Linked DNA regions of Mus musculus: region 2 is reported to be linked to region 1. Evidence: microRNA targets listed by miRTarBase, many of them from high-throughput screens and not tested one by one. Region 1 holds a microRNA gene; the other region holds the end of a gene's coding sequence. Distances are between the middles of the regions.
What was found. The annotated mature microRNA mmu-miR-153-3p reads UUGCAUAGUCACAAAAGUGAUC and lies in region 1 at 3,338-3,359, shown strand. An mRNA with a match to its seed (bases 2 to 7 or 8) in the 3' UTR can be bound and repressed. Matches are read on the target gene's strand: a 7mer-m8 pairs with bases 2 to 8, a 7mer-A1 pairs with bases 2 to 7 and ends in A, and an 8mer does both.

Region 2: miRTarBase lists Sel1l as a target of mmu-miR-153-3p. Seed matches in the 3' UTR shown: 7mer-A1 at 806-812.

The regions. Positions count from the first base shown.
Region 1 is chr12:117,247,523-117,252,522 of GRCm38, forward strand. It overlaps Mir153 (microRNA 153), which reads left to right and starts at 3,295; the gene lies at 3,295-3,363. Ptprn2 (protein tyrosine phosphatase, receptor type, N polypeptide 2) reads left to right here. Exons shown (of 23, transcript NM_011215.2): 18 at 135-254; 19 at 1,012-1,178. The region is part of intron 2 of Gm5441 (predicted gene 5441); the gene reads right to left.
Region 2 is chr12:91,805,813-91,810,812 of GRCm38, forward strand. It overlaps Sel1l (sel-1 suppressor of lin-12-like (C. elegans)), which reads right to left. Exons shown (of 21, transcript NM_001039089.1): 21 at 231-4,241. The coding sequence ends at 4,032. Among named protein-coding and RNA genes, the nearest start is that of Ston2, 22 kb to the left of the region's middle.

The DNA.
Region 1 (5,000 bases):
CATTGAGATAATGTATTCAGAGGGCTGAAGCAGCTGCAGTGTGCAGGATCTAAGGAGAGAGAAGTAAGTTCCTCAGGAGTGGGATATTGGAGACTGTTTCTGACGGGAGTAACCACAAGTTGTATCACCTGCAGATGGTGTGGGAAAGCGGCTGTGCAGTCATTGTCATGCTGACACCCCTCTCCGAGAACGGCGTCCGGCAGTGCCATCACTACTGGCCCGATGAAGGCTCCAACCTCTACCATGTCTACGAGGTACCAGGACCGGGTGCCTACTCAGGGGCGTGACAAGAAGCATATGTCTCTAGTCCTCATCCACAACCTAACCTGTGGGGCTAGGACATCCCCAGGGAGGGCTGTCAGCACGTTGACATCAGAGGGATCCAGGTGTTATACAGCCAAGAGAGCCAGTGCCTTACACTGCAACCTAGTTAGGGATAAACTCAAGAATAAATGCTGTCATTCCATATCACAGTTGTATTAAGTCTCAAGGCTGATAAGAAGAAGAAAAAAAGTCTGTCATGCAAAGGTGGCCCAGGTTTCAAATAACAAGTATTCAGGTGAGGTCCATTTTCACAGAGAATGCTGCCCATATTCTAGTGGCTGGTGGGTTTCTTGCCTGAGACATGGGTCTGTAGTATTTGACCTTCCTATAAGGGGCAGATTTCCCTTGCTGGGTTTCCTACACATACCGGATGAAGGCAATAACTGTGGTGTTTAAGGTAGGAAGGACTCACATGGGGAGCATGTTAGAGGTCTCACAGGAGCCCTAACAGTATCACTGGGAAGTCATAGTCTCTAACCTTGAGAGATACAGGACTCCTCAGAATCTGCTGAGTCTTATGTCCCCTGTGTCCCCTGATCTAAACCAGCTAAACTCAGAGCAGAGGGGACCTTGGGGCAAAGCAGACCTCACCTGTCTGTCTCCTCGCCATAGTCTCCTCTCTCCCCAAACACAATGCTGTGCTCTGCAGTCTTGGGCTCACGAGCTTTGCTAATCTGTCCCCACCAGGTCAATCTAGTCTCTGAGCACATATGGTGCCAGGATTTCCTGGTGAGAAGCTTTTACCTGAAGAACCTGCAGACCAACGAGACTCGCACGGTGACCCAGTTCCACTTCCTGAGTTGGTATGACCAGGGAGTCCCTTCCTCCACGAGGTCACTCCTGGATTTCCGCAGGTAAAACAAAGAGCATGCTGCAGACTGTAGCGACTAGAGTGTGTGGGCTGGGCCAGGTCTCTCAGGTTTTGAGATGCTGCCTCCAAAGCAACAACTGGGCAGGAAGAGGAAGGGAGAGAGGGAAGGGTGTGTGTAGTTAGTGCCCCTGTTCTGTATGAGTGACTGTCCATCAGTCCATCAGATAAAGGTGAGGCAGCAGGCATCGTAGAGCTCTGCAGGTCTAAGCATAATTTAATAAGATTCTGAGACCTACCTAAGACTTTTATCCCATACAGTTTAGTAAAGTCAGATTTTTTTTTTTTTAATTTGGCGACTCATCTTCCAGCCAGGCTAAGGAAATTTTGCCAGGGAAAGGCCAGGTTCTAGAATAGAGAGTCTTGTATAGAAGCCTAAATATATCGAGCACATGAATGTGTATGTGTGTTTAGTGCAGTTTTGAAAGTGACAGTCTTTTTAATGCACTGGATTTTTTGTTTGTTTGTTTGTTTATTTGTTGCTCCAAATCAGCCAGCCATAAAAAAAAATTGTCTCCTTTCAAAGTGTCTTTATTGAGCTGTTGAGATGAATGCTAGACTTTCTTACAGGAAGATATTGACGGTGTAAAACAAAGAAAAATATGAGGTAGATGAGCTGTTTGCCCATCACACTCGTGATAGATAGGTCAGTGCCACCCAAAGTGGTAATAAGTGCAGAGACATCTTATCCATGCCAGTGTCAAGTTCTGTGTCTCACAAGTAGCTAACTGGAAGCCTGCTCGTCCAGCTGCCCTGCAGATTCTCAGACAAGGAATTAGGGAGCCAGGGCATGGCGTTTTACAAACTGTTGTGTCACCAGATAATATGACAGTCTCCAAGCCTGAAGTCAAGGAGAGTGTTGAGATAGAAACAGAGCCAAGATGGGCCTGGGCTGCTTAAATTCTCATCTTACAAATTCTGATTAACATGATGCTACTTCTAGTCTACACTGAAAAGAATATTTGCAGACTGGGTCTCCCTATGTAGCCTCTGGCTGTCCTGGAACTCACAGAGATCTGCCTGCCTCTGCTTTTCAAGTGCTAGAAATAAAATTTCTTTGTCTGAATGAGACATTCTTTGAAAAGAAATTTCATGAAAGAGTTTAAAGAAAGATGGGAATTTGGTACCAAGGCTAGTGGCTCCTGCCCAGTTGTCACCTCCCCATAGGAGCATTCAGAAACCCGAGAATATCAGAGAAACAGCCACAGCGCCTTCCTTCCTACCCCAATTCCCTAGCCACCAGACCCTTCCCAGTACAGACCTCCTGAAGATACACATAGGAAGTCTTTTGCTTATGACTGGCAAAGTGGATGCAGCTATGCAGATGGCTGTCCATCTCACTACCTGTCTCTTAAGCGCATCCAAGGGGTTTGCACATATATGTGTATAGGCCCGTGTCTGTATTCATATATGGAATGAAACATACCCATATCCAGCCCTCAAGGTTCATGACACTTCATGGAGAAAATTTGAATCCCCAAGTCTCCCCAACTCCAGAGTCTGAGATGACATGATCCAAGGTTTATGTAACATCATATATTAAACAGACTTTGAACCCCCGTGTTGCAGGCTTCAGTGGGGGAGAAAGCTGCTCTTGAAGCTTTGTGCAGGATCCAACAGCTCACTTGAGGACCCTTTTACCCTTTCTTTATCCTGGATAGTTGGCACAAATGACCACACTCTCTGGATACCCTGGCTTAGAAATAAAGTTGCCAGTGTCAGCTAGACGGATAGGAAGCCACCTTTGTGGACCCCACCTTGTTCAGGGGAGGGGGGTTCTAGTCTTGGAACAATAGCCTAGTGTTCTCAGCAGGCCTAGAGTGTGTGTCAGGCACCCAAGATGTGTAATTAACTGTTGCTGGAGCCCAGGGGGCATACATTTACACTTTAAAGAGAAACTGCTAAGAGATAATTAGAGTCACATGTGAGGGCTTGGCTCTACAAACCTCTCTTCTCTCCCCAGTCTCCGTGTTCTCTCTCCCTCCCTCTTTCCCTCCCTCCCTCTTCTCCTCTCTGCACCTCTTGCTGTGTTCCATGCATCCACTAACGCTGCTCACTGTCAAACCGACAAACCCTTACTTTGCCAGCTACTTAGCGGTGGCCGGTGTCATTTTTGTGACGTTGCAGCTAGTAATATGAGCCCAGTTGCATAGTCACAAAAGTGATCATTGGAAACTGTGACTGCAGCAGGGACATGGGGGCCCCTCTCTGAGCCTCTAACGACCTCACCTGACTTTGCTTGCTGTTCGTTTGCATGGCGACTCACTCAGTGACCAAAGGGTTGGTTTGTATTGCTAACGGTTCCTTCTTGGGGCGATCCTCCTGCAAAAGTCCACATAGTATCCATTTCTGCTCAATGTCGGAGACCTCGCTTGCTGGTAACCTGTCTAAGAGCAAAAAAAAAAAGAAAAAACAACAACAAAAAAAAAACAAAAACAAAAAAACAAAACAAAAACAAAAACAAAAACACAAAAAGCGAGACAACTGTGTATTGCTCATCTTCATGAACAACCAGCCCTTGCATCTCAGGTCCTCGGATGAACACACGGGCTCTCTGTGGGATGGTTTTGCTTTTCTATCTGTGGTATTTCACGCTGTTATAACCTGTGGTTCCTTGTTAATAAAGTTCTAAGCTATAACGCCACAAGTATTTCCATCCACTGTGTCTCCCACCCAGCCCCGGGTTGCATGTAAATATGTCTGGCACAGGGTGGGGTCTGGGGCGGGTATGAACATTTCAGTGAGATCTCGAAAAGGCCTCCTGGGGCAGTCAATCCAGAGAAAGCACACCTTAAGCCTCCTGTAGAGGAAGATAGGACCGTAGGAATGGAGATTTGGATGGCAGCCACTTAGCCTGGGTCACACTCCTACCTAGAGAGATCGTGAGTACATTTTGCTACCACGGGTGTGAGAGTTAACAGTGGTCTGCTTTACAGATCCCTTTTCTTACAGTGCATCTTCTCTTGCTCCCATCCGGAGAGCAGCACGGAGTAAACCGGGTAACTAGCCATCTGTGGGTATGCAGACCGTTTCCCAACCCACAGCAGCTAAGCATACAGTGTGGCCAGGAGTTAAAGGCATGGGTCTGTGGTTGTTCCTGTTAGCAGGGGAACTCTGCAGAAAAAGAAAGCTTTTGAGAGGAAAGCCACCCAGTGGGCCTGGCCCCTGGTCTCACAGAGCTTTGTGCCTGCCAGGCAAGGGCTCCATCTCTGCCACACCTCAACCCTCAGCACAGGCTCTAGTTTCACGCTCTGTGTTTAGCACCTCTGTGTGTCCAAGCTGGAACCCAGTGGGGAACAGGAAACTTTAGCAGGAGAGCCAAGTGGATCTGCTTTCTAACCTGGTTATTTTTCGGTATCCTGATATGTGGGCTCTATTGAGAGGGAGTTTGTCTCTGGTTTCTCCCCTCCTCCCATAATGCACCTCACACCGGTGACCACAAAAGGCTCTCTCAGAAAGGACCAAGAGAGAGCACACTTGTTTTGCCCTCATAGTTCTGAGAACTCCCCCTTTTTGGAGCCTCGGTGGGTGGTCCGGAGGCTCTAAAATGGTGAAGGTTTTTTACAGATTATATAGACAGAGCTGCCAGAGACCAAGAGCAGCTGAAAACAGCTTTGAACATGACCTGTCTGTAGGGGGCCATATCTTATCCAGGCTCTGCATCTGCCCTTCAATTCCCATTTGCTAGTTCCGTCGTGGGGGGAGGGGGAACTCAGACTTCTATCAGAAGTAGCTGAGTCTAGTAACACTGCAGTAGAAGTCAAATTTAAAAAAAAAAAAAAAGGAAAAAAAGAAAAGAAAAGCTTTC
Region 2 (5,000 bases), 25 Mb from region 1:
TTACCAGTTCCTGGTAAATTTATATCTTCCCCAGGACAATGTTCAATTAGTTCATGGGAATCTGACTGACAGATATTAAAAATGAAAGACAGATTCAAATTTCCCCAGATGAATGCATTCTAGAATTTCATTTCTGTACTTCACTAAGAGTTAGCTAAAATGTTCAATCTTCAGGTCAAGAGCAAAGTCTGCACATGAAGGCCTTTGAATGTGGCACACGCCCAGACAGATAACCAGAGAGGGGGTCTTTATTTCACAAGTTTCCAGATACAGTACAAAATGAATCTGTACATCTCTCTATTAACAGGATTTGTTTACACAATTATAATACACGTCACCAGCCGTTATACTGCATTCCATTAAATACAAAATAAATTTACAAAAAGTCTAGTATGGTGTTCCTTCATGACGTCAGCTTATGCTCTTTAAGCATGTCCCTCAACATCTCTAGTGGTCATACTTTGATCATATCAACGTTGTTTCTTAAATAAAAGAGAAATAGTGTCAGATCGTTCACCAATAAATAGTAAACAAAGAACATCTGGATGGCTCCCTGCTCATAACCAAAGGGCCCTTCATATGCATACAAAATCGGCTTTCTGATGTGTAAACAGGCTCTTTAACATAGAAATCATTGGTATATGGGGTTATTTCAAATTTTCTTCAAGTCCCTAGTGGGTGAAGACACTTAGCTTCTTTTTCAAAGAAAAATACCCACTTAAAAACCTGACAATACAGCATCCAGAAATAGTTTCTCTCGTATCTGAGGCAATAACTGATGAAAATAGTTTTTTTTTTTTTTTTTTTGCATAAAATAGTTTTCCTTTGTTCCGGTTACTTCTTGCGTATCTTCTTGCGTGTTTTGCAGATGTGGTTGGTCACTGGTTGCAAATGCCACACACACAAGGGGTTGAGGTCTGCATGTGGAGGCTGCCATGGCTGCTCCTAAGCACCAGAGAGCAAACCTGGGGAGCAGAGGAGAGAGAGAAAACCCAACCAAGCAGCCAGACGAAACCAAATTCTGTGTAGAGAACCCCCAGCCACCCGCTCCTCACCAGACCCCTGGAGCAGGGTTCTAACGCTTCTCCAAGGTAGAGATGGTGAGTGGTAATATGTTCAGAAGTTAATCTATCTATCTATATATATCTTCAGAAGAACTACAAGCCTTCAGGAGTACCAAGATTTAGGACTTGTACTTTTACATTAATCTAGTTTAGGTATTAATAAATTTGGGGGAAAATAAAGCCCCTGTCAGACCTTTTTCTGTATTATCGGCTAGTAACTAAGAAAACCCAGAAATCAGAAACAAAAACTTCAAAAACAAAAACTCCACTTTTGTACACCGCCACAGAAGTAAAATTTGTGTTCTCTAGACTCTGATGTAGCTGGTTGCCCAACGGGGCGGGGCGCAGGAGAACAGAGGCTCGTCAGAGAGCCTTGGTAGGCCGCAAGACAGACCTGCGAGACAGACCACGAAAGGCAGCAGTAGGGATGGGCTACAGGGAGGAAGGAAGCCACGCTCTAGCTGGTAAATCTAAATCCTAATGCTAAAACTCCCGAATCCTGGAGTTGGCTTAATGTCACTGACATCAACTAGCTTTATTGCCACTTTATTCAAATGGATGCCATTAGTAAGTACTGTGCATTATTTTTAAGAGAACCACCGAACCCAGTGCCTATTTGCTTCGGTCCCACGTCCCACAGACTCTAGGTAAGAGAACAGAGCAAAGCGCTTGAGATCATCTAGGAAAGCAGCAGCGAGAACTGAGTTCTCGCAGTAGACGCCGCAGGCTGGAAACAGAGGGTAAAAGTCTCGGGAAGGGCATCTGCTGTAGTGACCGTTCGTAAAAGGACAGCAAGGGGCAAGTCTGCTACATGAAGAACAAACCTAGACTGTCCCGTCCAGCCTTAGGTAGTGTATGCTATTTTAAGAGATATTTTCTTCAAGTACTTTCTGTGGGAAGTAAAGATGGAGGCAAAACTGCTGCCATCCAAGGAGGCCTGAGGTGGATGGCACAGGAAAACCACAGAAGCCAGTGGCATCTTAGAGTTTCCCATCTTTTTATTTATTTATTTGTAGAGACTGGGTCTTGTTGTATTGCCTAAGCTGGTCTTAACCCCCCAGCCTACTGTGAGTGACAGGAGACTGCAGCTACACACCACTGTGCCCAGTTCCTGTGAATCATGTAAAACCTGCCTTCTAAAGGAAGAGAGACGGCAGAGACGGGCCGGGCCGTAGCGTATTTCCTTTCCTGGGCTGAGGGAGGGGCTGGGAGAGGAGGCAGGGCTAAGGACCCTGTTTACTGCACCGCTCACAATCTAGTCTTTCAGCACAGGACACCAAATGAGCCTTACTATTTACAAGCCCAAAGCAACATTACATTTTTGAGAGGAATGCTGGCTGCCTCTCAAAGATCTGCCTCTCTGTGGCCATGTCTTCAAATTTGGAGGCAAATATCTTCGAGGAAAATTTTTGCTTCCTGGGTTTCCCATAATACTGTGAGCACACACAAATGTACACAACTTCACACTTAAAGCCTTCATGTTCAATACAGATGAACTACATTGAATTCTCATGACAATCCCAACATTCAAACTCAAAGCTTTCCAAACTCCACAAGTGATAAAGTCGTTTCATTGCAGACAAGGATTACAGAAAACAATGGAAAGGCGATAATGAACAGGGGCGTGAGCTCCCATGGGGTGCTGGCTACCCAACGCTACCATCCACAGATCTGATTACACAGACCACAAATTCAGCTTGGGCTTTGGGGTGATTATGTGAAGCTCTCAGTCGTTGTTTTCGCCTCTTACTGAAGCAGGCAATGCTGGGTGTAACTGCTTTAATTTCCTAATGTTTACAACAGAAGGGCGATAACACAACAGCTACTCAGTGGCTGACTTTCTACAGCCACATCAAACCGTCAGAAATAAAAAGCTCCCGCAGCATACACAACGGTGCACCCAGGCCTTTGGTTTTGCCATGCATTGGGTCTAACCCATCCTCCATTGTCTGAGTATTTTAGTATTTTAGTATTACAAAGGAAGTCACCACCTGCCAATCTTGACAATAGCATTTCATATTTGAAGACTTTGGGAGGGTTGTCTGTTCTCTGTGCCATAAGAAATGTGAAGTAAAATGAGATCCGGGAAGCAACGAATCTACCCGAGGGAGGGCATGTCCCAGGTCCCACCTCAAGTTGGTTAAGGCTGTTTTCTGATTTCTCCATTTAGATCATCCTCTGGCGTCTGGACTAGGGCTCTGTATATGCAACTCACATGAGTAGCTGGGGCAAAGTCCTCTGTGGGAGCACGGAGTCAGCTGACTGAGTTTGACTTCTACTCCATGGCAGGGATGTGACATCACGAAGAAGTCTTTAGCAAAGCCTTTCAGTCTTTGAGGAAGAGAAGTTTGCTAGGAAGTGTCAGAGTCACAGTACAGGAATCCGATCAATAATCCCTTTTAAAATAAGAGTGCCGAACATATGACCTGGCATGTAGACTGGTAAAATTTCCCAGTTACTGCATTTCCCAAACACCCTGAAGACGTCCTGCTTGGCTTGTTTTGCTTTTGACTTAATGGCAAGTTCTAGTCTCAGACTTAAGCATGTTTTTAGGGTTAAACTTGCAACTAACTGGGTTTCCCCAGGTTGTCAATGCTCAGGACCTTAGAAGACAGGTAAGAAGTTATGCACATCAACAGGATGACGAAAGGTCTCTCAGGAAAGACAGGGTACAGTAGACATGACTCGAGTGTCTTGTGTATGTTTGCAGAACGAAGAAAGAAAAAGGAAAGAGGAAAGCCACTGAGAGTTGTCATTCCGTATGGCACTGAAACAAACATTCACTGCAGCTCTGCCGAGAGCCGCGCATCCCTGAAAAGGAAGGCAGCAGGTTCTAAGCAGCTTCTGGGATTCAACACGCCTCACGCCTCTTCCAGGCGGTGCCACCATCCAGAGCCCTACATCAAATGCAAGCGTTCTCAGCAAGCAGCTCCCCAGTGGTCACCGACCAAGGTGAGTGTGTGGCTGCTACTGTGGTGGCTGCTGCTCTGGTGGTCCTTCCTGCTGGGGAGGAGCCGGCCGTGGCCCTGGGGGCCTGGGAACTGGTATGTCCTGGTGCTGTCGCTGCCTGTAAGCTATGACTGTACCCAAGAGCAGTGCAATGATGGTCATGAGGTAAAGGTCCCACTCGGGTCCCAAAAGCTGGTCCATATCCAGTTGTGTGAATAGATCTCGAATCTTAATGAGAAAAACACAAAAAGCATTAGCACTTCGATGTCGGTGAAAGAACTCTGAAACTAGTTACTTAACAGTAGACATAAGCATGAGACTTTGAAAAACTAAATTCTAGGACACTGTGATGATTTTTAAACCCTTCTTCTACTGACACCCAGAGGGTGTGTCTCAAGAACTAAGCTAGGGTTTCCTAATAGCGGACATCAGATGTCTAACTGTTTTTTCCATCAGAAATCTAATTCGGCAATTTCTAGCTATTTCTCTAGTAGATATCTGAAAGGATCAGCAGAACAATAAAAGACCCCTCCGCCCCCAAGTCTGAATCCTGGCACACCTCTAACCTGTCCGCAGTGACAGCAGGCAGGTGACGGCCAGCTGTGCTCCGCCCATGGCACTGACAGCTACAGGACCGGGTGTCCACTTGATGAACAAACACCTCTTTTTGGTTGTTTTAATTAAAATGCACACCATTTTACAAAGAAATCTGAACTTACAAGTTACATTCCTAGTCTCTGAGCTTTTGTGAAATTATGCCCGAGAGCCCTCATAATACACATCTGTAGGCGCAGGTGCTTAATTTTGTAGGAAAAAAAAATTCCAGGAAATGATTATGTTCCCGGGGAATTTTGTGTCTGTTCATCTAGTCTGACCTCCTTCTCATCAATACTTATTTCTCTTGCTTTTTTTTATGAACTGGGATTGCTTTGTTTTTTTTTTTTTTTTTTTTTTGTTTCAGTTGGAGAATCTTACTGTTCTCTTTCT